Linked DNA regions of Arabidopsis thaliana. The protein of the gene in region 2 interacts with the protein of the main gene of each other region in a pairwise test. Each region holds a gene or a part of one and is shown on either strand. Other genes may lie near its edges.

Region 1 (14,809 bases), on a different chromosome or scaffold from region 2:
AACTAGATTTCAACAACTATTTAAAACAAAAAATGCTTGACAAACCAAAATACAATTGCAATCCCTTAAAAAGAGCAAAACACACCTAAATACATTCTTTATCTATCCAATAAATCTTATTTCTCCAAAATTTGAACTAGATTTTGGCAACTATTTAAAACAAATATTTGTTTGACAAACCAAAATACAATTGCAATCCCGTAAAATATTTATTTTAATTATATATTTAAATTAGCGGTGTACCGCGGGTTTTTTTTTGTGGGACGGGTTTGAGAGGACGTTACTTAATAACAATTGTAAACTAGAAAATAAAAATATTTTATAAATAAATTTAATTTGCAAACTTTTATATATACTAATTTAAAAAATAAATTGTCCCTGCGGTATACCGCAGGTTAAAATCTAGTTTTATAACAATTTTTGTTCCAGGAAACCTATTACAGTAATACTTAAGTAAAAAAAACAACTAATAATTAGAAGTTTAGGGAGGGGCCTTTTTGAAAAGTGGTATTGAAAAATAGACATTTTTTCCCTTTTTCTCTCTGTTGAAATTTCTACATTCAATCTATTTTTTTTTTTTTTAGTCGACAAACATTTTTTTCTAAAGACCAACTAATGTATCATAAACCTCACATTTTATATTTTAATGATAATATTTCTTTTTATTACTAATTCTTATAATATTGCCGTTAGAAAATTTAATCTCTGTTATTGATCTTTAGTCTAAGGAAAAAATGTATATAAAATACCTACTTGCATGGTTAAAATATCTACAAGACTACAACTCTCTCGCTTTTACTAAAGCGAAACAAAGTGGTAAGTGGTAACCATAATCGAACATGTAAGCCACTTCTAGTTGACTCCCAAATTGCATTGTCATAATTAATTAAGCACTAACTTAAACATATAAATAATCACCCTCATCAAATCATTTTCTACCACCATCCAAAACAAAATCTTTGGAGCCACTCCACGAAGAAAACAGATGGCGACCACAACATCAACCCAAGCCATAGTTTTCGCAATCGCCCTTTTCTTGGTCGCCATCCAAGCCGTTCATGCAGACTATTACCGGCACCGCCCACAGCGACCTATAACCCCGAGCCCTCCTCCCTACGTTGCAAAGCCCCAGCCGCTCCCAACTCCCAGCCCCAAACCTATCCTTTATCAGCCTCCTCCCACATACCAACCACCCACGGGCTCGTTCGAACAACAATTTCTTGATCCACATAATACTGTCCGAGGCGGTCTAGGTACTTTCATATATTAACTATAAATAGAATTAAGACCCGATGTGGTCATAGTTATAAGACTATGCATGACCATAAACAACATAAACGGTCACTTATGATATATCTTTGTAATTTTTGTTGTCATACTCATATGTAGTCCTATTCATAAGAAACTACAAGATAAAAACGATTAGGATATATATAGAATATTAACAAAAATATATCCGTATTTTGATGTTTTCTAGATACAAAGAAATTAAACCAGATATATTTTGTTTTGTTTGAGACCTTATATATTACATACATGTTCTAAGGAAATGGACTACACTAAAGAAACGAACAATTAAATAACATTTGTTAACATAATTGTGATATCAAATTAAATTATTAGTAATGTTGTATATTGATATGAAAATTTTCATTCCCAACAGGTTTGCCTCCACTGGTGTGGGACGTAAAGATCGCAAGCTATGCAACATGGTGGGCTAACCAGAGGAGATACGACTGCTCCTTAACCCACTCGACCGGCCCATACGGTGAGAACTTGTTCTGGGGAAGTGGCTCAGACTTTACATCGACTTTCGCAGTGGAGTCATGGACTGTGGAGGCTAAGTCCTACAACCACATGACCAACACGTGTGAAGGAGATGGTATGTGTGGTCACTACACTCAGATCGTGTGGCGTGAAACCAGGCGCCTAGGTTGCGCTAGAGTTGTCTGCGAGAACGGCGCAGGAGTTTTCATCACTTGCAACTACGACCCTCCGGGTAACTACGTTGGGGAGAAGCCTTACTAACTTTGTCTAACACGTTAGTTGTTTTAAATTAACGTTGGTGATTTCTTAATCTATGTTTTTATTCTTCTTGACTTTTGTTTCTTTTAAAACTTATCATCCTATGGATTTTAAGTTGATGGTGTTATGAACATTTTGTTGTTTCTACTTTTCATTTTGTGATGGTCATGTCCCCAAAATAAAATTTTAATCGGTATACAAAAGACCTTCCTTAGTTCCCTTAAATTTTATATAACTAAATACTACTTAGATATGAATATGCACAAACAATATAATTTTCCGTTTGTACTTGGCATTTCTTTACAAAAATCATATCATCTTTTTATATTTTATATATTCTTGTACACTGGGCATTCTTACGGATATATAAATAACCGTTGATGCAATTACAACCATCAATTAAAATAATCAAGATACATAATTAGTATCACAACCCCCACAAATAGATCTATTTTCTAGTAAAATACACAAATACACCCACCTAATCTCCTTTAAAAAGTCATCATAATTTCTAAAAAATTAGTAAGATGACTTTATTTTGGAGAATTTTTAATAGATAAATGATGATAAATTAATAGGGTTTCTGGCCGATGTAGTTACCGGGAGGATCATAGTTACAAGTCATGAAGATCCCACCATTGTCGCACACCACACGTGCACATCCGACCCTCCTAGTGCTCTTCCACACAATCTGTGTGTAATGACCACACATCTGACCAGCGTCGCACGTGTTGGAGCCGTAATGATAAAACCTCTTCTCGCTGGCCCATGCAACCACCGCGTCGGCCGGAGACCAGTTGGCGCCGTATCCCCAGTAGATGTTCTCGCCGAGATTAAACTCTCCGTTTGAGACAGAGTGTCTCAAAGCACAATCTCCCCTTCTTTGATTAGCCCACCCTTGGGCGTAGTTCTGGAGTCTGCGGTCCCATATCAAAGGAGGTTCGAATCTTGCGGCACGGACCAGGTTGTGTCGGAACAAGAACTGCAAGGAGTCGTGGTCACATCCCGGACACAAATTCTTACAGATTCGGAACACCTGACCGAGTGTTGCTGATTTGGTTATTAAAGAATTGGTTATTGATAAAGAAACGACGACATTAAGGGCACCTAAGAGTAATATTACTCGTAAATAGGATGAGCTCATCCTCTCTCTTTTCTGAGATTATATTGTTTTGTAGGTGCTAATGGATTCGGAGGTTCAAGTGTGTTATTTAAATATACAGAGAAAAAGAAGGAAACGATAAACTGTGTAATTGGAAATGTATGGATACAAATTTGAGGGGTTTTTTAGCGGCTCTGTCTAATTATGTAGCGGCTCTGGCAGATTGTAAATTTTAGAAAGAAAAAGAAAAGGAGATTGATGATAATTATGGATTGTATTATTTTATTGGAGAGATATGATATGATTGTGTTATGTGTTGTCCCGTGAAACCCTAATGTTGGACGTATTAGATAGGCGGATATTTGATAATGGTGGGTCGTCACGGAAAACGCCAATAAGTCAGCATGCTTGCCAACCCATATTGGCACTCACAACTCACAACATTATGGCCATCAATTTAATCCATGCAATGATATAAAATACTATGGAAGATAAATCAAATAGTTAGGGATGAAATTAAGAAAGAAGAAGGACGAAAAAAACGAATGAATTTAGCAATCGATTAAGCCAAATCGAAATTGGAAATCAAAAGAATGTGAAAGAGATTCTATTGGTACTTAATTAGTACTTACACGTTTTAATGTGAAAGAGATTTTTTTTTTTGTCATACATGTCACATGTGCAATATGAATAATCAAATGAGTAACTTGAAATAATTGATTTAAATGTGCTTTACTTTTAAGAAAGAAAAGAAAACAAATCCAGACATTTTAATGAAATAAATCTTTACATTTTATATTGAGATTAGATGTACTTGCAATGAAATAATTTTTATTTACTATTTATCCTATACTAATAGTAGTTGATAAATCTCTACATTTTAGTGTAGATTTTTGCAAGTCTTCCAAAATTAAAGTTTTTTTGTTTGTTAATAACAACACCATTAACCTCTTATAGTTTTTAATTTATTATCAATCCACTATTAATATTTTTTTTAAAAACTTATTTTGACCAAGTGTTTCTATGTTACCGCTACTGTTGCTTAGCGCCTCCGCAAAACCCGCAAATTGTAACACTTCTTCGCCGGAAAAGTTAAGCGACTTGTCATCATCAGTTTGCTAGTCAGGAAGATAACTTCCTTCTTATTGTGTTCCTTTTACTTCCACATGATCGCGTCCTTCTCCAGATTCCAAATCTCAATCCCCGATTTGATTCCGTCTTCACCGCGATTTCTTCCGCCTAGTCAAAACCAGTTCCGTTTCAGATTATACCTTCAATTTCCAGCTCAACCTAAGAATCTCTGTCAAATGGAGTGGATGAATCGTCTTGGAATCGGTTGCTTTGCGGCGAATCGAAGCAAAAGAGAGCTGACGACGGAGATCGACAACGGCGGAGAAGACTTTTTCGATGCGGATGTTATGGAGTCTGCGGAGAAGCCTGATCATTTGGTGGTCATGGTTAACGGAATCGTTGGCAGGTAGACTAAATCAAAGAGCTTCAATTAGAATTACAGATTACTATAGTTTGGGTTAAAGACTGTGCTAATTCTGTGTTGGATGATGATTTAGTGCGGCGGATTGGAAATATGCGGCGGAGCAGTTCGTGAAGAAGTTCCCGGATAAAGTACTAGTGCACCGTGCGTGTTTCTTGACCTATAGATATTGTGGTTTTGATTACTCTGTAATTTTATGATTTGTTTGATTTTGATGATGAAATTGGATGAAGCAGGTAGCGAGAGTAATAGTGCAACGTTGACATTTGATGGTGTTGATAAAATGGGTGAAAGGCTAGCTAATGAGGTAGTATTTGGATGCATTGTTGTTTCCTCTGTAACTTGCAACTTAAAATTTGATTTCTATGTTTGAAAATTTGTGAAGGTTTTGGGTGTTGTTAAGCATAGAAGTGGGCTGAAGAAGATATCTTTTGTGGCTCATTCATTAGGAGGTCTTGTTGCAAGATATGCCATAGGGAAGCTCTATGAACAGCCAGGGGAAGTCGACTCTCTGGACTCTCCTTCGAAGGAGAAGAGCGCAAGAGGAGGCGAAATTGCTGGGTTAGAACCTATGAACTTTATAACTTTCGCAACGCCTCATCTTGGTTCAAGAGGACATAGACAGGTGAATTGATGTTTTAGACTGCATGCCTAGGTCAAATGTTTATGTAAGGTTTGCATATATATATATAGATAATCTCTTTCTGTAATCTGTATGACATGCTTACTCTTGTCTTCATTCCCTCAGTTCCCGATTCTTTGTGGCCTTCCGTTTCTTGAAAGAACAGCATCCCAAACTGCACATTTGGCTGCTGGGAGGACCGGAAAGCATTTGTTTCTGGTGGACAACGATGATGGAAATGCTCCACTTCTTATCCGGATGGCTACAGATTCTGATGACTTGAAATTCATGTAAATGCTCTAGCTTCTGGGTGTTTTCATTGGTGACTTGCAGATTGATATGCTCATCATCTCTTCTTATGACCTCAACAGATCAGCTTTAAATGCTTTCAAGCGTCGTGTGGCATATGCAAACGTGAATTTTGATTGTATCCTTCCCTGAAAAAAACATGTTTTTAAAGAGACTGTCAATGGTTTTTGATTATTTCTATCATTTACAAGAGTTTGCCTTAACTAATGAGAAAGCTATGGTTGGATGGAGGACATCTTCAATTCGCCGTCCAAATGAACTCCCAAAGGTATGTCTTTACTTATTATATTTTGTGCACATCTTTAATGACGTTGTGGGATTTATCAATAACTATTATCCCTGCTCATCTTCCAGCCAAATCTTCTAGCAACGGATCCAAACTATCCACACATTGTATACGTAGAACGTGGAAATGTGGACAATGGTAGTTGCCAGTCAACTTCTACAGTAGTAACAGAGCAAGATACTGATCTTGAAGGTTTTGCTTTATTTCTCACTTGACTATTTGTTTTTCAAAATTTGCTAGAAAAAATGATATCTCTATCAGATTTATGGAATGTGGTAGATCCTTGCCTCGCTATCTATTACCCATTGGTCTTCTTTATAACAAGTAGAATCACTAACTTCGTCCTGTTATGGTTTTTGTGAAATGTAGAGGAAATGATACATGGACTCAGTCAACTATCTTGGGAAAGAGTAGATGTCAGCTTTCACAATAGCAAGCAACGATACGTCGCGCATAGTACCATCCAGGCAAGTTTAATGATAAGAACTCAAAACTCAAAAGCGATTTTGTTAAGAGCATTTGACATAATTTTCCCTGTAATGTGTAGGTGAAAACATATTGGTTACATTCTGATGGCAAAGATGTTGTCTTCCACATGATGGATCATTTCGGTCTCTAGCCCTAAACATTTTCAACCGCTGCAATTAGTCAGCACTGTAAGAAGGCGATAAGCATCACAAACTTCTTCTCTTTTTTGTTGGTTATTTATATCGTATTTAGTATGATGCTTGATGCGATACAAATCGTGGTAAAGTTCTTGGCACTTTTTCCTTGATGGTTATTTAAAATGTTTTATAGTTCTGTCGAACAATGAATCTGTACAGATCTACCCGTTCTTTGTAAAAAAAAAAGGTTCATACTTCTCTTGTCACTATCGATTCTATAAGTTTTTGTTTTGATCATAAGACTTGGCGCCAGTTGAATGTCGATTTTTCCACAATTATTGTTGGTTTTCCAGTTTTATTGGCATCATTTGCGAGCTCGTTTGTTTTGACACGTTCACATAATAAACATAGTAGGAATTGGACAAGAAAACGAAAGGACGTAAACACATGACACAACCAGTGACCAATTGCCCATACTAGAAAAACAATTATTCAGTTAGTTGCAGTAGTCTCCATCCATTATATGTGTCACTGTTCACATTGTACTGATCATCCAAAAGACGACAATTTATTGTCCAACGATAAACGATAATGCTTTCAATTTCAGTGAATGGTAAACAATGATAAATGGATATGCCTGGAAAAGAAAAAAAGAGAGAAATGTATAGTTGAGAGGCTATTTGTTCTTTGATAAAACTTGATGATATTTAGTAATATATCTAGAAATTTAGGAATAAAGGTACAAAGAGAATAATTCTCAACTTCGGTTCGCCACAACGAATTAGCTTAATATTCGGCATGCGTCATTGTTGGCACATCACTAGAAGTTTTCACAACACATCTCTTTCCCTCTTTCGTAAGCATCATGTCTGTACATCTCTCACTGGGAAAACATTTTTGTCTCTCTATACACGAAAACTGAATTAAGGACGCACGATTTTAGTTGTATCTTTTATTTATTTTGTCTGTCAAGCTTCAGTTCTATCTTTAATCGCTAGTCCAAAACAATCATCTATTCAAACTCTTAAAATTTACATGTACCGGATATTCCTTCATGAACCATAAACGGGAAAAATTTGAAGAAAACTGAGACAACCAAAAAAAAACTAAAACCATACGAAATAAATAAAACTCTAATTTATATCCCATCAGCTCACGTAAGGTTGGCGTAATTATGAACCGACACAAAAAGACCGGACGGATCGATTCCGGAGTACTCCGTAACGAATGCTCTGTTTTCAAAATATGAGGGAGGGCTCACCGTAACCTCCGGTGCTCTGCTATACCACCTGATCACTACCCTCTTCTTCCTTCTTCTTCGTTATGATCGCCGCAAGTACAGCTTTGCTCAGACCGAGTCGCTGGCGTAGCCAAGTAAGTAGGTCTGACATCACCGGCCATTATGACGAGAAACTTCTCCGGCATTTCTGTGTGCTTAGTTTTGTTGGTGTCATTGTCGGGTTTGGCATCATCTCCGGCCTCAAGATCTCTCTCAGCGGAGCCGGAGAGTCTCCAGTAGGAACATGCGAGGATGAGAAGAGCGACGCAGATGAGAGCCAACATGGCGGCCAAACCACCGAAGAGATAAGGAACCGGAGAGTGCCAAGGCGAGTGAGGCACCACCATGGAGGAGCTCGCGTTTATGCTGTCTTGGTAATTATATTGTCGTCCTTCCATTGTCTGCATGTGTGTTTTACTGTTTGGGAAGAGTGAATGAAATGAAAGTTTTCTTTGTTAAAAAAGTAATTAATTTATTGGTGGGAGATGAGATTGTGTTGTGAGAGGCGTTTTATAGAGGAACGTATGGGATGGATTGTTTCTTAATGCAATGGATTTGTGTATGGTTCAGTTTTCAGTATTTTTTTGGAATGTATGAAAAAAGTCAGTATTCATTATTTGTACTTTGTAGAGTGAGTATTAACGAAATTATTTTTTAGGGAATCATCTTCCATAATGGAGTAAACAATTGATTGGTTTTTGATATAGAGATGTAGTTTTTTTTTGCATTTATACTTACATGAATAATTTTTTAATCAACCTCAAAAATGATATTAGTTTAACGTGGTGGCTCAATGAAGACATTTGTAAAATCATGTATATTTCCTTCTTTTGGATGTTAATTTGAACTTGTATTAAGTTGGTTTTCTTATTTTTTTCATAATTGTTTTGTTTAATATATCCGTCTTTAGTACTTTAATAAAGTTTAAATTTTTATTGGTGGCTTTTAATTAATAGTATCTTTTAAATGCAATAATGGATAGAGGTTAATTAAAGTTAAGAATTATTTAATAATCTTGTTACGGCAATTTGCACATTAACCTAACTGTTGAACTAACTAACCTCTTTGTTTTGGCTAATCAGTTTTTATTACTTTGCTTAATTAGGTTAAACTCAAGATTTAATATCATTTAGGAGTTTCAACTCAAAACTATTTTCAATGCCATTTATACACTATATATGGAGTTCTTAACAATATGTATAAAACTGTAAGAACTATATACAGTAAAGGGTATTTAAAAAACTTCTGGTTAGATAAAGTAATAGAGCGAGTAGTGCAATTGGAGGGGTAGGTTCTCAGCGTCAGCTTCCACCATGACTAAAGGAAAAACGGATATTCCATTAGTTTCCAATCACTTTCACTTACGTTCTCCATTTCCACATTCTTCCTCTTCCATTTTCTTTAATTTCTTCATTCGTACTTTAAGATCATTGTTTAATGTGTCCACTAGTATTACAGTAAGCAATAATATATCATTACGTCAACTAAAAGGAATTTCTAAGGCAGAACCTTTTTTAAAGCATCCAAACCCCCAAACAATGTTATGTGCGGTTAATATGCCAACACAATCACTAGTCGCTTACATTAATCTTTGGAGATAAGTTTTACTTTTAAATCCCCTCACTGTGTATATATTAGTTTTAAATTATTATGTGTGTGGGCTGTATAATTTATTCCCTGATCCGACTTAAATTCCGGATTTGATTTGTGTTTGTGCATGAATCATAGGGAATCATATTCTCGTTAAATAGGCACGTTACATGTGAAGATAATGTATAAAATAAATACATATACCTAGGAACCCATTATTTAGTTTCTCGAACAAACAGATTAAGTACGATAATTAAATATTGGAGTTCTATTCTTCTTCCTTTCCGGTAATTATTCTGCCAGACCAATTAGAATCGGTATGTTGATTGTTGAAAAGATTGATTGATGGGTGCTTCATTTTGTGCTTGGTTAACAATCAGAATACTTGCCCTCTTTACTTTTATTTCTTTTGAAATTTCCTAAGAAATCGTTTTCGGTGTTGAAAGAATTAACAAAGGTTCCAAATATCTCAACTTCTCAAGTCAGAGATTAGCTTTCATGTAGTTTTTCAAATTGTGTTTATTTCTTCATCTAATTACTTTTAAAGGTGGCTCGTTCAGTTTTTTTCAGAACTTATCTCCGTACATTCTAAAACTCATTTTTAGTTATCAAGATATTTTTCTTTCTCTTTAGATACGGATTAGTGAACTTGAGATAGGTATATCTAATTTAAATAGACAGCTTTATAGAGCTATGATGACACTTTTAAAAACTGATAGATATGCAACAAATATCATTATTGCATGCCTCACAGTTCACACATGTTATTTGAAGTTTGAACATTAAGTCATAAACAACAGTTTAATTACAATAAAATAATCAACATTTGCTAGCAAGAAAAAGAGAAGATATGGTAATAAAAATAAGGTTTATTGAAAGAAAAGATGAGAAAAGGAGATGAAAGTACAATAATTGTATATATCGTCAACCATGGCGACATGATCATATACATACATGTTTAAAATAATTTTGGAAAGTGTAAAAGCAAGTGTCTAAGGAAGTGTTATGCACTAATAGAAGTATAGGACGGTATCTAGTGAGAAGAAACAAAGAGTAAAGATACAAAAAAAACAGAGTGATTAACATTTCCTACATATATTCTATAGTTTTTTTTTTGGAATATGTTGTAACAGTTATGACATGATTCATGTGGAAGCTGCTACAAAAAAGTGGAGGAACGAGAGGGAATAGTAATAAAGCAGAAAGGGGTGTTTCTTTGAGAGAGTACATTTGTGAACGAGGACCAGCCTTTGTGGGACCTAAGAGTGGAGGGTGGTTCAGCTTTTAGCCGAGACGTCCTCATCGCCCAGCACCCTGGTCTGGTCCATCCTCCTCCACTGTCGCCTGTCGGCCTTCATTACTCTTTAACTTACCCACACACATTCTTTTCACTTTTCAGTTTTGGGTCTGTTCTTGCAGTTATGATATATACGGCATGGTATATTTATCTTGTGACATTGCAAGTTGCTTTTCACACATTTTTTTCAATATTGATCCACATTCAAATGGGCTTATTTCTGATTTCCTAATGTCAATTTTCTTCTGTTTAGCCCTGCACTCTGTTCTTGTTTTTGTACCCGTTAAGGGGCTTTGAAACAACATGCTACTTTTTATTATGTGTAGAAATTTAGGAAAAACACAACATGAGATACGGATATATTGATGGCCAAAGAAAGTGAAGAGAATGCTTTATTAGTATAACAAACTATATAAACATATCACATATGTGATATGTATAACAAGTTACTATAATATGATTCAAATTCTGTTTAGAATATTTTCTTTCATAGATAAAGAAATTGTACCATTTACAATTATTTCACCTATTAACTCCTAAAGTTTATTCATTTGCATGTACGGTGATATACCTAAAGTAAAAGCAACCACAAGTAACTATAACTAACTAACGTTTAAGCCAGATTGTTTTTATAGAAACTCCTTCAAATCCAGGACTGGTCACGTCATTAATATGTAATTGTAAAAATGGTTTGGCAAATTGTGTGCCAAACAAACAAAGGAAGATGCAGAGATTGGGAAATAGACTTGTACGTGATTTGCAATTTTCTGTGTAATAATTGTCAGCAGGCCCGTGACCTTTATCTGCATTCCCCTTTGGCTTTCTTCTTCTCAGTTTCTCAACAATATATATTCACTATGACACACATGCATATTCATTTGATCCATCTTTACATGTTTTCAATAAATGTGTGTATACGTAACTGTTAGCAAGCTTTCTTTATGAGAATATATCTAAGAATTTTCGTTTCTTCTGGATCCACCTTCTCACTAATAACTCCATCTTAATTTGGACTTGAATCTCTAATGATCTCTTCAATATCTGACTCTCTCTTGTCTTACTGTCGCATCCTGGTTACATCACCGTTTGACCACAATTATATTCGATGAGTTCTATGTAACGCAAAATTCAAAATGACAGAAAAGACAAAATAATTAACCAAAAGGTCAAAAAACAAATAAGAAAGAAAAAAAGACTGAAAAATTGTCAATTTCATTGGAAAATACAAAACATTCCAAACTCAAGCATCAATAAATTCTCTTTACAACACTCACTTCCCTTCTCCAACCTTTAAACATTTCTCTCAAAATGGAGTCGTACACTTTATCCACCTCTTCCATCTCCTACGCCAAACCTCTTTCACCGCTCCTCCTCACGGCGGAGCAACCTTCCTTCATCCTCCGCAACATCACTCTCACCTCTCATCCTTCCCAAATCCTCGCCATTATTGGCCCTAGCGGCGCCGGAAAATCAACTCTCCTTGATATCCTTGCCGCAAGAACCTCCCCGACCTCAGGCTCAATACTTCTAAACTCCGTCCTTATTAACCCTTCTTCTTACCGTAAAATCTCCTCCTACGTTCCTCAACACGACACCTTCTTCCCTCTCCTCACCGTCTCCGAGACCTTCACTTTCTCCGCCTCTCTCTTGCTCCCAAAAAACCTATCAAAAGTCTCCAGTGTCGTTGCTTCTCTCCTCAAAGAACTAAACCTAACACATCTTGCACATACAAGACTAGGTCAAGGCTTGTCCGGTGGTGAACGCAGGAGGGTTTCAATTGGTCTAAGTCTTCTTCATGATCCGGAAGTACTACTCCTCGACGAACCCACCTCGGGTTTAGACAGTAAATCCGCTTTCGATGTCGTTCAAATTCTCAAATCTATTGCGACGTCCAGAGAAAGGATCGTGATCTTGTCCATACACCAACCTAGCTTCAAGATCCTGTCTCTCATCGATCGCGTGTTACTCCTTTCTAAAGGAACCATTGTATATCATGGAAGGCTTGACTTACTTGAAGCATTCTTGCTCTCCAAGGGATTCACGGTTCCTTCTCAGCTGAATTCTCTTGAGTACGCTATGGAGATACTTCAGAACATCCGTGATCCCTACGAAAACGCCAACATTGCTCTTCCAGACCACTGCCCTGAAAGTAAAAAACAGAACCAAAAACAGAGCATTGTTCGATATAAAAGCTCGAGAATCACCGAAATAAGCCTTCTCTCTAGCAGGTTTTGGAAGATCATATACCGTACAAGGCAGTTGCTTCTAACAAACATCTTAGAATCTCTTGTAGTCGGTCTTGTCTTAGGCACTATCTACCTTAATATCGGAACTGGCAAAGAAGGAATCAGGAAACGATTTGGCCTTTTCGCATTCACCCTCACATTCCTCCTCTCCTCCACTACCCAAACCCTTCCAATATTCATTGATGAACGACCTATTCTTCTCCGAGAAACCTCAAGCGGACTCTACAGACTCTCCTCTCACATTCTTGCAAACACTTTGGTTTTCTTGCCATACTTGCTACTCATCGCAATCATCTACTCTGTCTCACTCTATTTCCTTGTAGGACTCTGCTTTTCATGGCAAGCTCTCGCCTACTTTGTGCTCGTAATCTGGATCATTGTCCTAATGGCTAACTCTTTTGTACTTTTCTTGAGCTCTCTCGCACCTAACTACATTGCTGGAACATCTTCAGTGACCATTCTTCTTGCGGCTTTCTTCTTGTTCTCTGGTTACTTCATCTCTAAAGAGAGTCTTCCCAAGTACTGGCTCTTCATGTACTTCTTCTCAATGTACAAGTATGCGTTGGACGCACTTCTGATAAATGAGTACTCGTGTCTGCACAACAAGTGCCTGGTCTGGTTTGAGGAAGCTTCTGTGAATAGCTGCTTAGTTACTGGAGGTGACGTGTTAGACAAGAATGGGCTTCATGAGAGACAGAGGTGGTTTAATGTTTATATGTTGTTAGGGTTCTTCGTACTATATCGTGTTTTGTGTTTTCTTGTTTTGCTTAAAAGGGTTTCGGGTTCCAAAAGATAAATGCTTTTCAATTTCTTAAGCTTAATTTTATATATAAGGGATTTTCTTGTTTCTGTAGACTTCGTGGTATATACACAAAGAAGCAAATTAATTGATGGATGAACACAAAGAAGCAATTTATTGATGGATGAGTTAATGAAAGTATAAATTCCTTTATTTTTTTCGTTTTATACATTGTTCTATCATGTATTTAGTGTGTATATCCATGAGCTTCACATACATTCATAATGTCACTAGAAAACCAAGAGAACTATTTGATGTACTATCTAGCCTTCTATGATTGGGTTACGTGTGCAGGGAATATAGAGAATCTACTGGATTAAGAGATATTTGAGCCATGTTCGTGTATCTTCTAACTTGGCCAAAAAAAAGAGATCGTCACGGGTCTACATGGTCTTCACCTCCTCTGGAAAACCATATCAGTTTATACATTATTGTTCTAAATGTATGTACAAATATAAAATTAAAGGTTTATTTAAAAGTTCAGTTGTGATTTGGATTCATGATCTTGATTGTTTTATCATTTATGTTAGTGGCCGTGTCTTAAAGCGATGTTAATATTCATGATTTCATCTATTATTGTTGCAGATCCTAGACTTTACTTTGGGTACATCAATTTATACGTCTGCTTATCCAAAAACAAACAGCGAGCTACTTTTTTTTTTTGGTCAATAACAATGTAAAAAAAAATTGTTTTGGTTAAGAAGTAGGCATTCACGATGTTGACAAACAATAAAGTAGAAATCAATAAATAGTTGTGCTCAAGTTGACATACAAAATGCCACATCTCTTTTGTATTCATGGGTTCACGGACATGCAACTTCATTGGTCGCCCGTGAACATTTTTGTTTAGCAAGTAATTTTTGTCTCGACCAAGCTGGCTTCCTGACTCAGTTATAATCCAAATTCATTTTTTATTACTAACTTCAAAGGTTTACTCAAAAATTTAAAATTCATATGTATATCACGTTTTAATCTTGGAGTTTGGGAACTTGAATAGGATATATGTGTTGGGACGTCCGTCATTGGTATCCGGTTTCAAACTTGAGAAACAAGGAATACGTTTCTTGAGAAGCAAGGTTTACATTACCACCTAATCTACTTAACATACTCCATCAGCATGTCTTTAAGATTGTGTTCCTCAGCTTGAGTCACTGAAT
Region 2 (16,675 bases):
AGGAGTATGATGTGTCATTAAAGATAGGAGTACTAATGGTATTACCGTTTTTAATGTTCTAAAATCTATAAATTTGAATATAGAGAGGATTATATCTTCTTTTTAACATACAAAAATAATTTAATTTTCGAATATAGTATAGAGTCAAAATTCTTATAATATGGTTTATGATTTTAATTTGTGCATTGTTGAGATTTAAATACTTTCCCTTTTAAAGAAAAATAGTAAGTGGATATAAAATATAATAATACATTTTAAGTGTGAAAATAATCTATTAGTACAACAAAGTAAACGTTGGAAATGGGGACTATGAATATTCATAACATCCCCTATCTAAGAATGTGCTATTTATTGTTATATATAAAAAAGAATGTGCTAACTATTTTAATTTGCACTTTTAGTACTAATTATTAGCTCGGCTTATTGTGGCTCGGCTTGGCATCAACTAAACAAACAATTGTTTAATGGGAATTCATTAAAGTATTTAGATTAATTTTGTTTCTTAATTACGACAAATGAGCTGGTTAATTTGACGTTACTATGTGATGAAAAACGTGAAGCTGTTCTCTCTTTATTCCTTCCGTATAAACCGGTCCTAGGAATTTTGCTACATTAAATTTTGGAATGATCTTTCATTCTTTCTTACCCCAATAAATTAATTTCGAAATTCTAGTAAATCCAAATCAATCTTAACGGTCTAACTAATTATCTAATTATCTTAAAGAGTTTTAGTTTGATCTGATTACTGATCATTTAGAAGCAAGGCAAAAAAAAATTATGAACAAACAACAAAAAAATTGGATGACATATGCATGGAGTCGCATAAATGATAAATTTACTTGTAACTTTTAAATTATAAGAAAAATATCAGTAAATCACAACACCAACATTCATCGATATTAAATATACATTAATACCTACAACAATATTATAAGAAAAGTATATGTATTTTTTTTTTTGTTCTTTCATATGGTAACTCTATATAGGCTTGGAATAATCAAACAGAACATTTCAATTATCCATTTAAAATAAATATATTTGTGGTTTTGGAATGTACACCTAAAATGTAGGGGATGAAACAATTTTGTAACAATGTTTTTTAAAAACAGAGTGGGTGTTGAATTGGATCACGCACGGTCCACAATCTGGTCTGGCCGGTTTACAGATGTATTATTTATTTATAAATAGAAAATGTATTGATGTATAATAAAAATATAGTATGATTTATACAAATAATAATTAATTGGGCTGCAAGTAGTTCATTTTCCTCTAAAAAAAATACTAACCTTTATTGTGTAAGAATCATGAAGGACTTTGACATTTTTGTAATTTTATTTGGTTTCGATCCGATATAGATTTTAGAGTTTGGTTGGTATCTTAATTAATAGCATTTGATTTATTATGGTCAAGAAATTCAAAACAGTAAATTACTATATCTAGGATAAAATTAAATATCGCATGGACTTTTCAGACCGGCTCAAAACATGGAGTGTTAAATAAATTATAGCAGAGAAAGTAAAATGAATAAAGCAAATAAACACAAACCTAAGAGTTTTTATGATTGTAATACCCAATCATGATTGATTTAATTTTACGATTCAAAGAACTATTGACCATATCGATTCACATACACGTAATAATTTGTCCCAATTATATCATATCACGCATGGCTCGTTTTTTCCATCATTAACGACTATACTCGATATATGTATTTATTTCGTTTCATATAAAAATCACCACGGATCAGGTTTGGTAATAACAACTAAACAATGCATTTATTCTATCTAAACCACACCCATAATTGGAGGGGCACTCTAATGCTTATCCAGTTTTGTTTTCCTTTTTGTATAGTTGTATAAAATTTTTTTACTTAAAACACAAAAAAATGTAATTCTATATAGTCAAAATTAATTCAACCAAGAAAAAAATACTGCAAAACTTGAATGGCCGTAAAATATTAAACAAATATAAAATAATATGAAGCAGACACAAGCTTCTTATAAAACTTACAAAATTATACAGAAAGAATGTTTTAAAACGATTCGCAAACAAATAATTTATAGTGGATTAATAACCTAACCATTCTTACATGGAAACTATGCTTTTTTCGCTACAAATTGAATCATGGTGTGGAAACTTTAATTTTTTGGTCTTTAACTAGACCGATAATGTTTTTACATTAAGCATATTAAACAATTTATTTTTAAGAGAAACAAGTTTTGAAGGAATATTGAAAAGAAATTGTAAACCAGAAATTTAATAAATGGTTTATCTAGTATCTACTACACACTACCGCAGGATTCTGATAGTATCTATCAACCTAAGATTTTGAAAGCTTAAAATTTAGTTAATGTTTTTTAAAGCTTAAATTTTTTATTGCGTTACTAAAAAAAAACAGATTTTTAGAGTTCACAAGTTATATCCAACTATCTTTTCTTTTTATTTTTGACTTTTTGTCCAAATTACTTCAATAATTGAATGATATGTATATAGTAAAAGTTAAAACTGAAACAGTGGGACCAACTAGATGAAAAAATGACAAAATTGGTTAAAGAAAGAGACGCCTTATGTGAAAATATGGCATACGAATATGAGTTTGAAATTATTATTATTTTGTCTTAATGGGAAAAAGAGATTTAACCTTACATAAGAAATACTACTACAAGAATGTTAAACAACTAATTGTAACTTTAAAAGATTAGTTTAAAAGAGAAAACAAAAAAAAAATGAAGGGAAAAAAAGGGTGGGGTTGGGTAAATGATGAAAGCCTCACTCTTACGAGTGAACATAATCACGTTTTCGGCCGCATCAGTTTCTCTTAATTTTCTTATAAGTAATATTTTAGAACATTTCCATCGATAGTTTCTCATCCAGAAACTGTTCAATATGAAAATAAAATATAATCAAAAAGTATGAGAGAGAGTAGAACTCTGAGAAACCCATAAAAACACTTGTATATCATCTATTGATTAAATATTATTTTATTATTAAAATTTAATTATATAACTAATATTTATTAAAATACTAATATCTTTTTTTTTTAGAAACTAAGAAGGTATTTCACTGATGAAGATGCTCTTAGCTGGTAAGCATTTTTTTCTCTCTAAATTTAGACACTTTTTTTCTACGCATTTATCATTATTGTTTTTTTTTTCAAAAGCCTAAATAATGTAAACATGGCATGAGACATTCTTCCCTTATTTTAGTTTTCCTTTTTGCTTTAAATTTAAATAATACTATAATTAAACTCTTTTTTAAAGATATAACTGTTTAATGAAAAAAGGAAATTTCACTGATGTAATTGTCGATTAGTAAAGCGAATAAAACCAAAAAAAGAAGTTATGAACACACATGCATAGAAAAATATATAAATCTTGATTTCATTCTAACTTTGCCGAAGCACCAAGTAATTAATATCAAATGTGAGCATGTTCCTTGGTCAAAAAAAATTCGTAAGTCCACCACGAATTTATTGTCTAGACCAAATCCTAAACAACCAATTAAGTGGTTCATGCACAACGGATTTGTTCGTAGTACCATAATCGTCACTGAACATGTGTGATGTATGAACTTGACCGTATATCCTAACTCAACTCTAACTAACCACTAAGCTACTAATGCATGGAATCTGAGCACTTACTTAATTAAAGTCGAAAATTATAAGAATCATAAGATTATAATTACGCCTGCGAAATTATATGGAAAAAGAGAACAAAATGTAAGATGTTAATTAATTAGTACTACTTGTTAGCATGTAGTTAATATGATCGTACCATTAGCTGAAATTAAATGCATTGTACATGATGAGATCGATCATAATAAACCCTAATATTGTTTGGTGGCTCACGCTTTTTAGTTATATCCGACGATTTTTATACACGTAAACTATCGTTTTTATGGAATATATATATATACCATAAATGTTTATATATGGAGAAGTTTAGAAATGAAGAAAAAAAAAGCAACGAACGAGATACAAGCATGTTACATCCTAGTAATATTAGGGGGTGTTAATTAAGTGAACAACAAAAAGTGTTACTCGTAAAAAAATCTAGCTAGTAGATATTTCATCGCCATATATCAGTAGTTTGTAGTTTTTTGTACCATATAATTGGATAGGACAAAAAGTAACGTTAACTCGTATACTATAGGCCAAGTCTTTTAGAACGAAAGGACATGGTACAATTTTGACATTTATGATAAAGTTTTACGATGGCTGGGGAATTATTTGTCGAAAACTTGCTGCATTATTGGATTATTTGAAGTTATATTGGGTATATGCTAGCAAATTTGTGTTGAATGATCAAAACGATTTTATCTTGCCAGTCAAAAGTTATAAATCGATTATGCACGATGATCCCTAAAATTTTCATGATGTTCTAAATTAATTTAAAAAGTTTGATACAAGGACTCAATATATATTTATATATGCTGTATATGTCTTAAGGGAAAACAATTCAGTGTTTTTTTGTATAAATGCTGAATTTTTGATTTGTACATTTTTTTCTTAGTGAAAACAAAAAGACTTTGATCTATAGAAAGTCACAAGACTTGAATTCGACAACATAAAAACAACTTACTTATCAGCTAACTACCAACATTTGAATAATTTTGGGTTTATTGCGATAAAATTTGTAGCTGAATATTTGCCTAAAATGATAGAATTGAGTCACATGAGTCTCCAATGTTCACATGGGGTCATCTTCTTCTTATTGACAAAATGACATTAATTGGGGGTTTTGTCTCTATTCTCTCCTTTTGTTACCATCTTTTCCTTATAGATTCGTTTTTTTTTTTTTTTTTTTCTTATACGAATCTTATCATAATACGTCTCGGACTTGAATTGCTATATTTTAGCTTGGAAAATGTTAAACTTATTGGCTATTAGTCCGTATTTAGTTAAATCTTGATAGTGTGAATGATACAAGAGGTTTATATTTATTTGGTAAGTATATATATGGCTGAGAATCTGACAGAATAATAGAGGTTTCTATTATTTTTTTGGTAAATTATATATGGTTGAGAATTGACAGTATATATGAACTATGAACTGACGGAAATAATGACATTATATTTGCCGGTGGTACTAGATTCGTATTAGTTTTAACATACTGTAAATTTTAAAAATCCATGTAGCATATCTGTATACACCACACACACAAGGAAGCCATCATGACTAGTTATTTGCAATCCTAAACTTGCAAGTGAAGAAATTTGGAGCTAGGTTACATACTTACATTACGAGAAAATAAATAGTACTCGAGTGTGCAAATAATAAGATACAAAATTATCAACGAAATATATTCTTTTCAACCTACATCTTCAAGATAACATCCAAAACGCATAAATCAAGTTCAGAGCTAAGCTAGCCATGAACTGAACTTTACCAAATATTATAGACTTCAATATTGCAACACCTATTATATCAGTAACTGCGGCGCACCACCATCTTACAACGACGCTTCCCATCTCCACTAAACACCACAAATAGATCGTTTACTAAGCCATGTGACGAGGCCATATACACCTATGTGACTCTCATATTGAATCCCTAACACGTACATGAAAAGTTGTGAGCCTTGACCTTTATATAAGTATATAACCAATAACATAACTCCCTAAAGATCTAGATGTCTACAAAAACTCCATAAGTATTTCTGCAAAAATAGGTACTTCCTTTTTTTCCCCTTCAAGTCACATTATGTTGTGCGTTGAGCTGTGTCAATTCAATTCCAATAATCTTTTAGTCTTTCAATCGTCATTATCTTCATTTTGAGTTTAAACCTCAGCCACAATTACCCTATGAAAAGTAATCTTGCTTTTAATTGCTAAATATTCCATTGAGCAACATCAATCATTTTTCCTAGTGGCTAATTGAATGCAATTGTGGAGTTAGTTAAAACTTAAAACTTCTTTCTGAACCATATATATCCACTGTAATGTCAAATCTAAGAAAAGAAGGTTGGTCTAAAATAGAATATAGGAAATTGAAAAATATATTGATACAGTGACACATACATAGAAATAGGTGATCAATGCCGAGATTCGGTAAGGAATTTTGATTAAACATCATGGTATGACTAGTAAACATTGTCATAGGCAGAAAGGGAAAAGTATCACTTCAAATTCATTATATAGTCCAAAACAAGACAAAGACAATCACACATAGACCCTAGGGGTTTCATAGTTCATAGATATGATACCACATGGAATCATAATGTGTATGGAGAAATAATATTGCTTGTAAAGAGAGTCACTTCACTACTATCAAACAAAGACTTTTTTTTATTCCTCATTTCAAAAGTTTGAGCATTCTGTCAAAAAGAATGAACTCAAGCTTCACTTTTTTTTTAAAACTTTTTTCTTTCTCAGGCTTAACTTCAATAGGAAACATTCTCCATCTCCTACCAGCTTTTCCTTTTATTTGAGCCTTTTTTACAGACAAAAAGCAAAAAGGAGAGAAGAAAAAAAGATTACTTCTTTGAATGTTCTCATCAACTTCAGTTCCCATCTCTCTTTATTTTCTTTTGAATCTTTGTAATTATCAAGGTCCCCATTTTCTCATCTACACAAACTTTTACTTTCTCAAAAAGAAAGAGTTAAAAGAAAGCCAAATTAGGGACACATAGAGCTATCCAAGACTCTTGCAGATTTTTCCTGTCTATTTTTGATATAGAATTGTGGTTACTAGGAGGTTCGGTTTCTAGATTATAAACCCGAAACGTTACGATAAACAACATATGATTGCAAGTTATATTTGAGCAATGCCCAAACCAAAAAGTATTCAGTTACAGAATGAGTGTTTCAAGTAGAAAGATACAAAGAGAAAGTTTCTCAAGAACCATTGGAGCTATATATACATTACTGACTTTTTTTTCTTTGAGTTTCCCAAAACTAAGACCAACAAATATGTGCAAGAGTATGACATGAGAAAACACATTTGTATAAGAAAAAAGGGCAAAAGAATTCGATTTGACGGTTTTCAAAAAGAAGAAGAAGAAAGAATCAAACATGGTGTTTAAGTGAAGGGAAGAAACCTCTTTTTCAGTGTTGTTCATCACTACTTTCCACTTTAATCTTTACAAGCTCATGGATAGGTTGTCTACAAATGGGACATTTGTTTGTCTGAAACCTCAGTTCTTCTGCGCAATCACTGCACAAACACTGCAACAGACAACACAACATGATTTAGTCTTGATGACAATTCAACCAAAAAGTTATGGTCTTGTGAAAGACTTGATGTAGATTTGCTTTAGAGACAATCAACAGCAATATGAAGCAAGTCTAAAATGACAGAATTTGCTTGTTCCATAACTGAAACGCTACCAACGATTTATAGGTTTACCGAGTAAATGAAAAAAATTGCGTTTAGAAGAATTGAAGAAAGCAAAGAGAATTGCTAGAAGTTTGTACCAAATGTCTACAAGGCATGACGGCTGTGTCCTTAGGTTCAGTCAAGCAAATGACACATTCTTTGCCACCAGTATCCTCTAACCCCGATGCAGCAGTACCTTGTGTGATTGAATTATCGATTCCATACAACTCTTGTAGTTCATATCGTTCTCCTTCAATCCATAGAATCTGTTTCATGACTTTCACTTTGAAAGATCCATCATTAGTCTTCTCCAAAACCGCTTGAGTGATCTGCTTATGAACTAATGGTTCCTCTGAAACCGAGCTTGGTGATATTACTGTCTCGGCTGATATTACAAGTGGGTACACCTCTTCTGGTGATGGTTTCGATAGATCATCCAGTGAAAAGAAGCCTAGGTCGATTCCTGTCCCTGGAGCTTGTAGAAACTTCTGCCCGGCACCTTTTTGGAAAGGGACTTTGATTGGTGGGAAAGCTTCTGGTAAATGAGGGACGATTGTGCACTTTGATTCCTCTTCTCCAAAAAATATGATAGTGAAACTGAAAATGAGACAAGTAACATAATGAGACTCCTCGTCAGATAATCTTAATACCTAAACTTGGTATGCAACACAGGAGAGTAATAAGGTTGATTCAGTTGCTAACTAGCTTAGTAGTTCCGAACCATTAAATGAACTACAATAACTCCTAAAATCAATCAGTTATGTAACTGAAGCCTGTATTGTTTGGTTTCTGAACCAATCACATATTCATCACCTAGATCATGTCAAATTTTAACCTTTTTCATCCCAAATTGTGGCAACACATAATTCAGAACTGAAACATGAGTAAAGATGTTTCCTTTTAATCAATCTCGTCCCAGCAAAAACCCTAACTTTCACTGAATAAATGAGTCATATCATGTAAAGTTTGAACCTTTACGATCCAAATTTGAGATTCAGTATAATCTACAAGACCCCTCTACGCTAATTAGCCAATCTCATTCAAATTCTGGTTCTAAAGTCGGAAACTTGACTCAAATTTTGGAGTGAAGAAGTTATACCTGCCATCGAATAAGGCATCGAAGACGAAGGAAACAAGATAATGACCAGGGTTAAGATCGTCAGCTACGAGCCTCACCGTAGCTTTATTCACATTGACATCGTTCTTAACCTTCTTAGCGGTCTGATGCTCCACATAAGGTGCAGGCGGTTCCATAACCGCAACCGGAGTCGGACCGAAATAAACCGGCCTCATCATCGGATTAAACCCATTGTGATGATAACCGGTGAAATACGGAGGAGCTTGTTGCGGGTAGTATTGGTTTTGATGGTAGTTTTGACCGTACGGTCGGTAACTAATCTGCGACGGAGGAGGCTGAGAAGAAGACGGTGGCTGAGCCGGTGGTGGAGGAAGAGAGAGCTGTGGAGTTGAAACGGGGTAATTGTGAGAGTAGCTATACCCGTTTTGAGGCGGCGGTTGTTGTGGTGGAGGATCGGAGTAATAGTACGGCGGATTGTGGTGGGGATGGTGGTGGTTGTTGTTGTTGTCTCGTCGACGCTTGCTTAAGGAGATCCCCATAGCCTCTGAAGAAACGAGACAAGAGAGACAGAGAGACGAAAGTCAGATCAAAAGATTTGTCTTCCGGTGAAGATTATTATTTACATTATTTTTACTTTACGCAGTTACTGCCAGATTTACTGCAATTTTTGTAATAAAAGTCAACGCGTGTAACTTTTTTTTTAATCGGATGTTCCCGAAGACATGACCGTCTAACGAAAGAGACAAGACCGTTTCTTCTTGTTCAAATCTAGAAAACACACATACATGACGTTTTTCGAATAGCATTATTGATAGAGAAAAACTATGAAAAATCAACTAATACCTTATGAATTTCAAACGTGGTGTTTTATAGTTGACCACATATATCAACAAGTTCTTAACTTTGAATATTATGTTAGTAAATTATATTCAGATCATTTATAAAAGTTTACAAGTTTTCATCTTAATTTTGGTTTTCTTCCAATTATGTTATTAAGATGAGATTTTAAATAGTCCAAAATAGTTGAGCCAATATCATAAAAGCTAATTTTGGTTATGAATATACCCATATATTCAATTGATGGGTTCAATTTATGCATAACAGATTCTGTGTATAATAAATATACCTTTAGTCGTATTCAACAATCTTCATTGAATATTGGTTTAGGAGATTTTTAAGATACCTGTAACATTTTTAGGTCATAGATATGTTTAGAATGCTTGTGAATGTCAACAAAATATCTGATTAGCTGGAGCAATTAGAAACTCAAACCAAAATCCATTTAGTTTCTTTTTATTCATCCAATATTTTAAATCTCTGTGAACTAATAATTACATCTCAAAGTTACTAAGAAAAATAACTTTTTAAAAATAATTTTTAATCTATGTTATTATTATACAAACCAAGAAAACTAAGCTTTGTATGTTAAAATAAAGATTATACAAAGTAAGTATTCATCATCTTAATTTTAATGACTATGGTTTACTTGGTCTTGAGGTTGTTGTGCATCTATCTTTATCAAGAGAGGCTCATTTAAATCCGTCGAAGCATCATCAGTAACGGTCAGCTCCGGCAAGGCTGCAACCGCTTCGTTCATGTCTCCTCCGTGCTCTGCTAAAGCTTTTCTTAGAGCGTCCTTCGCCACCTTTGTAACACACACCATTAATATCACTGCAAAGAAACAGATAGAAGAAGGAACTTGTAACATTAGTGATTCTGCCGCAATCGAAGGAACTAGTAACATTAGTTATGCCGAACTAACCGGATATTACAAGGCTCGAAATCAAGAACGCCTGCAGATTGCGGAAAACAGGTCAGAATAGAGATTGAAACAAGAAGCTGAGAATGTAATTAAAATTTGTGTAGATCTTACCCAGCGACCTGGCGAGAACTCGCTCCACTTGTGAGTTACATCAGAAAGGTCTTTTAGAGTTGTTCCAACATACACTAACGCAAGTGTTATTGGCTGCAAATTAACAATGTATCAAGCTGTATTATTTCCATCTTACAATTTAAACATTTTGCAGTCGTTATGAAGTGGTGGATTAGAATAGATTACCATCATCCCTAACCACGAAGAAAGCAAGTATGGACCTAGCCGAATTGGCGTGACAGATAAGAGGTAGTTCAACATGCTGAACGGAAGAAGAGGAGCAAGCCGGAGCAACAAGCATATCTATATTCAGTTTTGCATATTCATAAGTTTCAAAAGAAGAGTGTCAGCACAAAACTTGTAATGGGTTCTCAGTGCAAACCTTGAAGCCGGATTTCTCTATCGCGAGTGCCACTGATTGAAACTGAGGATAATCCTTTAATTTTGCAACTACAAAAGGTTTTCCAATCTGCATAAGAGCATTTTCATGTAAGTACCAAAATATCAAAAAAGGATAGCGTCAGTGGTTTATGCATGTCACTTCATTAATCTAATGGTTGTGTCTGCAAATCAATAAGAATTTGAGTGGCTTACCGTACGGCCTAGTAGAAATGCAGCTCCTGAGCCAAGTGTAGCACCGACTGAGTCCGCCACAAAACCAATTGGCAGCCCAAAAAGGTAGCCACCACCGAGCTGAATATATCACAGCTTCAACCAAATAAGATTTCTCAATTTTATAGATAAACCAGTCACTCTAACAAAGAAAGTTGAGAGTGGATGATAGCGGTAAATATATCACACACAAAAGAAATATGTATATATACCGTGAGAACCGAGGCAGGAACAGCCAAAACTGTTAGAGGAATGTACGCAACAGCTCTGCAGACATCGCAAAAAAAAAAGAGAAGTTCAGTACCAAGGTAATCTCATGTTCCTATATCTATGGATTAACATTAGCAATGAAACAGTGATTCAGCTACCACCGTTAGTGTAGCTCATTGCTATATTACTCACGCAAGAATCTAACTAGCTCCATAGCTCAAGAAACAAGAAGAAAAGAGACTTACAGGGCAAAAGGTCCCCAAGGCCCTAGATCTTGTTCAACCCATAACAAAAAATCCTTCAATAGCTGAAAAATAATACAAAGGAAATTAGTAAGTTTCAGATCATAAACTAGCTAATACTACAAATCACAACATCAAATGAAACGAATTCAAAAAGGGCATTTGCTTTCTGACAATTAGTTAATCAATGATAGTAAAGATCAATCCTTTTTCATTGCTAACACAAAAGAGCGACATTTACGAGAAATTCAAAGAAAAGCATGTCAATTTCCAGAGATCATCAAAAACCCATGTCAGAATAACCACATTGAGAACCCTAATTAGGCCAATTACGAACCTTCTCAACAGGGAGAAAATAACAAGCTAAGACAATTGCAGCTACAAGGATAAGGAGAACAGAAATCCGGAGAGCAGATCCCCACGTGAACGCCATAAAAGGCGAACTCTACGATGCAAAATGGTCTCCGGTGACTATTTCAACGGCGTTGCCGGTGTTTCTCTGACAAGCGAGAGCTTATTGAGAACCACAACAAATCGAAACAATTCCGACAAAAACCGCAACGAGATCTTTAAGGATGCAGAAAATCTGATGCTGGTGCTTGTCTTGGAGATGATGTAATCCGAAACCGAAAAAGACAAAAACTTTGGGGGGTTTCGTGAAGGTGTGGATTCAATTGTCGTTGATTTGGTTTGGAGACTCCATGTTTAGCGTAAGCATTAGAACTGTGACTGGTTTCATTAAACCGCGTGGCGCGTACCGACTTCCTTGCCGTCCTTAATCGATTTCAATATTATCTAATTCCTTTTGTTTTAAATTAAATTGGATGAGATTTTATTATTTAGAACCATACATAATTTTTTATTCGATTTACTAAAAATAAGAAGAGAATGAACAATTAATAATCACATTTGTATCCGCCTTGTATGAATTAACTATGTTTTTTATATTTGGATATGTATAAAATAATGACATTATAAAAAGAACAAAATAAGTTTGACCAAAAAAATAATAATAAAAAACAATGACATAAGTATATGACATGAATATTTCATGATCCAAATATTTAATTACTCAAAGTACTGATTCTTCATTATATACAAATGGAATTATAATTTTTTTTATTTGAATGACCAAGTTTTGAAAAGAGAAAACAATGCGTAATCGGATGATTTGTCAATGAAAGAAAGATGACGATTTATTTGTCTTCAGCTTGTGACTAAATACCGAATTTTAAGGCTAACATAATCAAGAAAAGTCTACACGAGACAAATAAAAGAATCTTCCTAAGTCCTAAACCAAACTTAAATTTAAAGCAGCTCTCTCTAGCCTCTACTCTAACGTAGACAAACTGCATTTAACAAGACATGAACAAGCATGAGATCAACAAAGTACTGATGCCCAATCTCGCCGTCTATCCACCGCACTTTCGCCGGAGGTCTTCCATAGTGAACGCCATCGTTACACCGGTTATCAAAATGCCACGGATACGTCATGTCAAAGTTATCAATCACACTTGAGACCAATCCTAACCCCTTCATTTTCTCTAAAAACACCCCATTGTACACTTCCATCTTGCTCGGGTTAAACGCAAGCTTCCTCGCGTAACCGCCCGTCGCTATCGTGTTCCTGAAAATCACTTTCGGAGGTCGCAATCCCCGGGCTTTCACCGAGTCGAAAACGTTCCTCCAGAACGCAGCCGCGGTTTCTGCTCCTTTCGTAAATGCTCTAAGGTTAGACCAGTGAATACCGTCGTGTAGACCCGAGTTAACGATCATCACGTCCGGTACACCGGTCTCTTCGACGAAATAGCTTTTAAGCAATTCTCTAAAGCTATCATCTTCAAGTGAATCAAGACCTAGATAGTTTTGAGTCTCGTTCCAATGTCCATTGAAGATACTCGTGATCCTAACTGTTTCCGATGAGTTCTTCGGATTCGAGAACTTCAAATCAAACCTCCTAGGAACAGCACCAATCTCCGGATGACCCAAGACAAAGTTCAACAAGTTTCTGATCGAATCAACATGATTAGAGTCACCCCAGAAGAAAATCCATTTGTTCTTCAAACAATCCCAAGCTGATTCACTAGAGAATAGCTTAAACGAGCAATGACTCGAGTAAACCCAACCATTGCTTTCTAACGCCGATAAAGCTCCGTCGCACCATGGTTCCCGGCAACGGTAACCATCTGGTAAGCAACGGTAACGTCCATCATTGCTGATTTCACACTCGTCGTTCTTACCAAGCCTAATCCACCGGCCAGACCAAACATCTCTGTCGAAATCGGACAATTCACATCTCCGGAGCTCCGGTAAAACAACGTGAGGTTTCTTGATAAACCGTAGTTTGAAATTTCGTAGCGTTCTGTTGAATGCGAAGCGTGCAGGGCTAAGTTTAAGACCTTGGAAGCGACGGAAGAGTAAAACAACGGTGAGATCATAATCTCCGGCGAAATCAGGATGAATCTGAAGAGATAAAGAGTAAGTTCCGTTTCCTAAATCTTTCACCGGTGGTCTTGATTTCCAGTTTTCACCGGAAAGATCAGTCTCGAAGTAATCTCCACCGATACAAACTCGTTCCCCAGAATCATCTAGAGAATGAAATCTGAATTCGTGAATCTCACCAGCCGTTAACTCTACTAAACCCTTCCCTTCGATTCCCGGAACAGAAATCTCAACGGTGTTTGCTTCTCTGCACTTCTCTCCACCCGGAGCTAACCAGTTTTTGAGTACATTCGCTGTGAAGTTCTGCTCTTGCTCGACGGAGATCCAGGCAAGCTTTACTCGGGTCGGATCCAGATCCAGAGAAGGAGGAGAAGTGAGTCGTATAGAGTAAGAGTTGAATCTCCATGATTTGATGAAGCTTCTGATTGAACAACTGTCAATGCTCCAGACAACAACTATGAGGAAGAAGACGAGAGATGTTAGCGCACTTAATCTCCATTGATGTAGAGGACTCATCGCCAGAGACGGAATCACTACTTTCTTCGGCATTTGAAGAAATCTGAAGAAGATGATGACAAATCGGCAAGAAATCAAATTTGTGACAAGGCGATTTCTAAAGGTGCGATTTTTATTTTGTAGTTTTGGTAAGTAACAGGTCCGATTTTTATTAGTTTCCTAGTTTCGAATCTCGAGCAGAACATTAGTCTCCAAAAGTACTAATTAGGTAAGAATTTAGAGATTGTCGGAAGGAAAATTGCTTCAAATTCAATGTGATTTGCCAAAAGGCCGAAGAGTATAGAAATGACAATTTAATGATGTACAGACGATTATACCCTTGTGAATCAGCAGATATTAGCATTGGCTCGAACCGGTGATCGCGCCAACTAATGAGCACTGACATGTGTTGTTGCGAAGGAAGCGTGTTCAGGAGTCGCGTCGGCGTGACGTTTCAGTGTACGGTGGGATTTTAGGACAATGTTCGCGGTCACGTGTCTTGTTTGTTTGGTCATTGTCGCACCCCCGCTTACATATTCTTTGCCGGGATAAAAATTTTAAACTGGTGTAAAAAAACAGATATTGAGATTTAGTAGCTACCCAACTAATTATTTAAAGATTAGGTTTGAGACTGGAACTTCATAATTTAGAAAGAAAAATTGTTAGGCTGCCACCAATTGAAATCCTTTTATAACTGAAAACCTTTTTGCTTACAATGATCCTTCAAATAATTCTTCTTTCCTTATCTTCTTTTATTGCAAGAACTAAATACTTACATAATTTATTCTAAATTTGAATATACTGGTATAAATTTTGAACAGAAGAGAAAAGAAGATATAGATTAGTATGATGTTGTTTGGCAAAAAAAAAAAAAAAAAAAGATTAGTATGATGTTGAATTGTTGATTGTTTTAGGAGGAAACAGTTATGTATACACTAATGGAAATTTCTGTTATTTACCTAACCTTTGGACAACTCAATGCCTATTTATTGGTGTCAGTGTTTGGTATTTGGTACTATCATCTTACCAAACACTCTGTTATATCATCTTTACCGTTTACCTTTGATTGCTTACTGATTTAGTTTTTTCATAGTTTCCCAAAGCATCTCTGTTCAAGCTTAACTTATGGACTCAGCAAGACAAAACCAAGCAACAAAAGAAGGATATAATAAGGAAGACACTTTTCTTAATGATCCAAGTATATATCAGAACAAAAGGACAACAATTTACTTTTTTACTTTTTAAGGATAAATGGTTACGAATCAGCCAAGAAGTGAATTAATTCATGAGATTCAGATTTGGATAAGTTTTTCATCCACATAAATGGAAAAAGCAGATTTAGCTCCAAGGATCATCCCAACCACTGGGTCCTTCTCTTTTGACAAAACCAATGATGGCTTGAACAGCTTCATGAACTCTATTGGAGAGAGAATGATTCCCATGCTCTATCTCCACTTTCTCTGCTCCTCCCATTGCTTTACTTAATCTGTAATCACAAAGATCAAATCAATCCTTTTGATCTGATTGTTCATGTCCAATCATTTCGATATCATTTTGATCCAAAGTTTGCATCTATAGTTCTTCATATATACCAATTTTAACTTAAATTGCAAACAAATGAAAAAAATGGGACATCCATGTCTATGTAAGGTGTCTTCAGTTACAGATTCTTATAATTACTTTAGTTTAACTGCCCTCACCTATTGACCAATGCTTTTTTGTCGACATAATCTGGTACATACTCATCACCCATGGAGAAAATCACCTGTGTAGAACCAAGACATAGATGATATAAGAAGCTAATCAATGCCCAATTGGCCACAACTAGAAAAATTTATGTTCAGCGGGACTGGAAATGCTTTTGATTAGTTTTTTTTTTATACCTGACAAGGTGTGTTAGCCATATGGCCAAGTCTAGTTTTCAACTGATCATCACTAAGGTCAGAACTAAACATATCGTCATCTCCCATGTAAGCGCAGAGGGAGTGATATCTGCAGGAAGCAAGCAAAAGATTGATTTTTGTATTTAGACATGTTCGAATCACAATTTTTCCATTTTCAAAGCTACGAATATGGTAGAAGGAAATAGATATTGACCTATAAGCAGAGATTGGAGCACAAGGATCAGCTTCTCTAGGCATTAGCTCCTCTCCTCGACCTTCTTTTATCATGTTTGCAGCCAAGTCTATCATAGCAGGTGTTTCAGGAAGCGTTGCTTTGTACTCTCTATCGCTGACTGGTGCCTAAGTAAGCATTGCAATAGGCAATATGATCAAAGCTACACTACAGTCAGAACATATGATACGAGGCCTTTCACATAATAAAAAGTGTAGCTTCAAGAGAGAACGCAAAATAGAAGTCAAAGAATCTAGGACTCGCACCTGTAAAATTGCAGCCCGGACAGCTCG

What was found.
Region 1: the proteins of LUL3 (region 2) and GDU2 interact in a two-hybrid assay, tested with the Arabidopsis thaliana proteins (one study listed by BioGRID).

Annotation. Positions count from the first base shown.
Region 1 is NC_003075.7:13,109,467-13,124,275, reverse strand, and holds GDU2 (glutamine dumper 2), read right to left. Parts: upstream 8,249-14,809; 5' UTR 8,128-8,248; coding exon 7,738-8,127; 3' UTR 7,321-7,737; downstream 1-7,320. Other genes in the region: AT4G25790 (CAP (Cysteine-rich secretory proteins, Antigen 5, and Pathogenesis-related 1 protein) superfamily protein), read left to right, coding at 986-1,253, 1,664-2,028; AT4G25780 (CAP (Cysteine-rich secretory proteins, Antigen 5, and Pathogenesis-related 1 protein) superfamily protein), read right to left, coding at 2,597-3,169; AT4G25770 (alpha/beta-Hydrolases superfamily protein), read left to right, coding at 4,294-4,604, 4,696-4,763, 4,856-4,926, 5,005-5,244, 5,368-5,531, 5,613-5,668, 5,766-5,818, 5,905-6,028 and 1 more; ABCG4 (ABC-2 type transporter family protein), read left to right, coding at 11,916-13,649. UniProt on the Arabidopsis thaliana protein: Probable subunit of an amino acid transporter involved in the regulation of the amino acid metabolism. Stimulates amino acid export by activating nonselective amino acid facilitators.
Region 2 is NC_003076.8:6,370,657-6,387,331, reverse strand, and holds LUL3 (RING/U-box superfamily protein), read right to left. Parts: upstream 9,184-16,675; 5' UTR 8,933-9,183; coding exon 8,415-8,932; intron 7,913-8,414; coding exon 7,414-7,912; intron 7,165-7,413; coding exon 7,045-7,164; 3' UTR 6,727-7,044; downstream 1-6,726. Other genes in the region: AT5G19070 (SNARE associated Golgi protein family), read right to left, coding at 9,862-10,064, 10,156-10,186, 10,267-10,359, 10,453-10,569, 10,649-10,735, 10,861-10,959, 11,091-11,145, 11,334-11,395 and 1 more; AT5G19060 (cytochrome P450 family protein), read right to left, coding at 12,666-14,321; AT5G19050 (alpha/beta-Hydrolases superfamily protein), read right to left, coding at 15,606-15,753, 15,968-16,032, 16,151-16,259, 16,365-16,510, 16,649-16,675. UniProt on the Arabidopsis thaliana protein: Acts as an E3 ubiquitin-protein ligase, or as part of E3 complex, which accepts ubiquitin from specific E2 ubiquitin-conjugating enzymes and then transfers it to substrates (in vitro).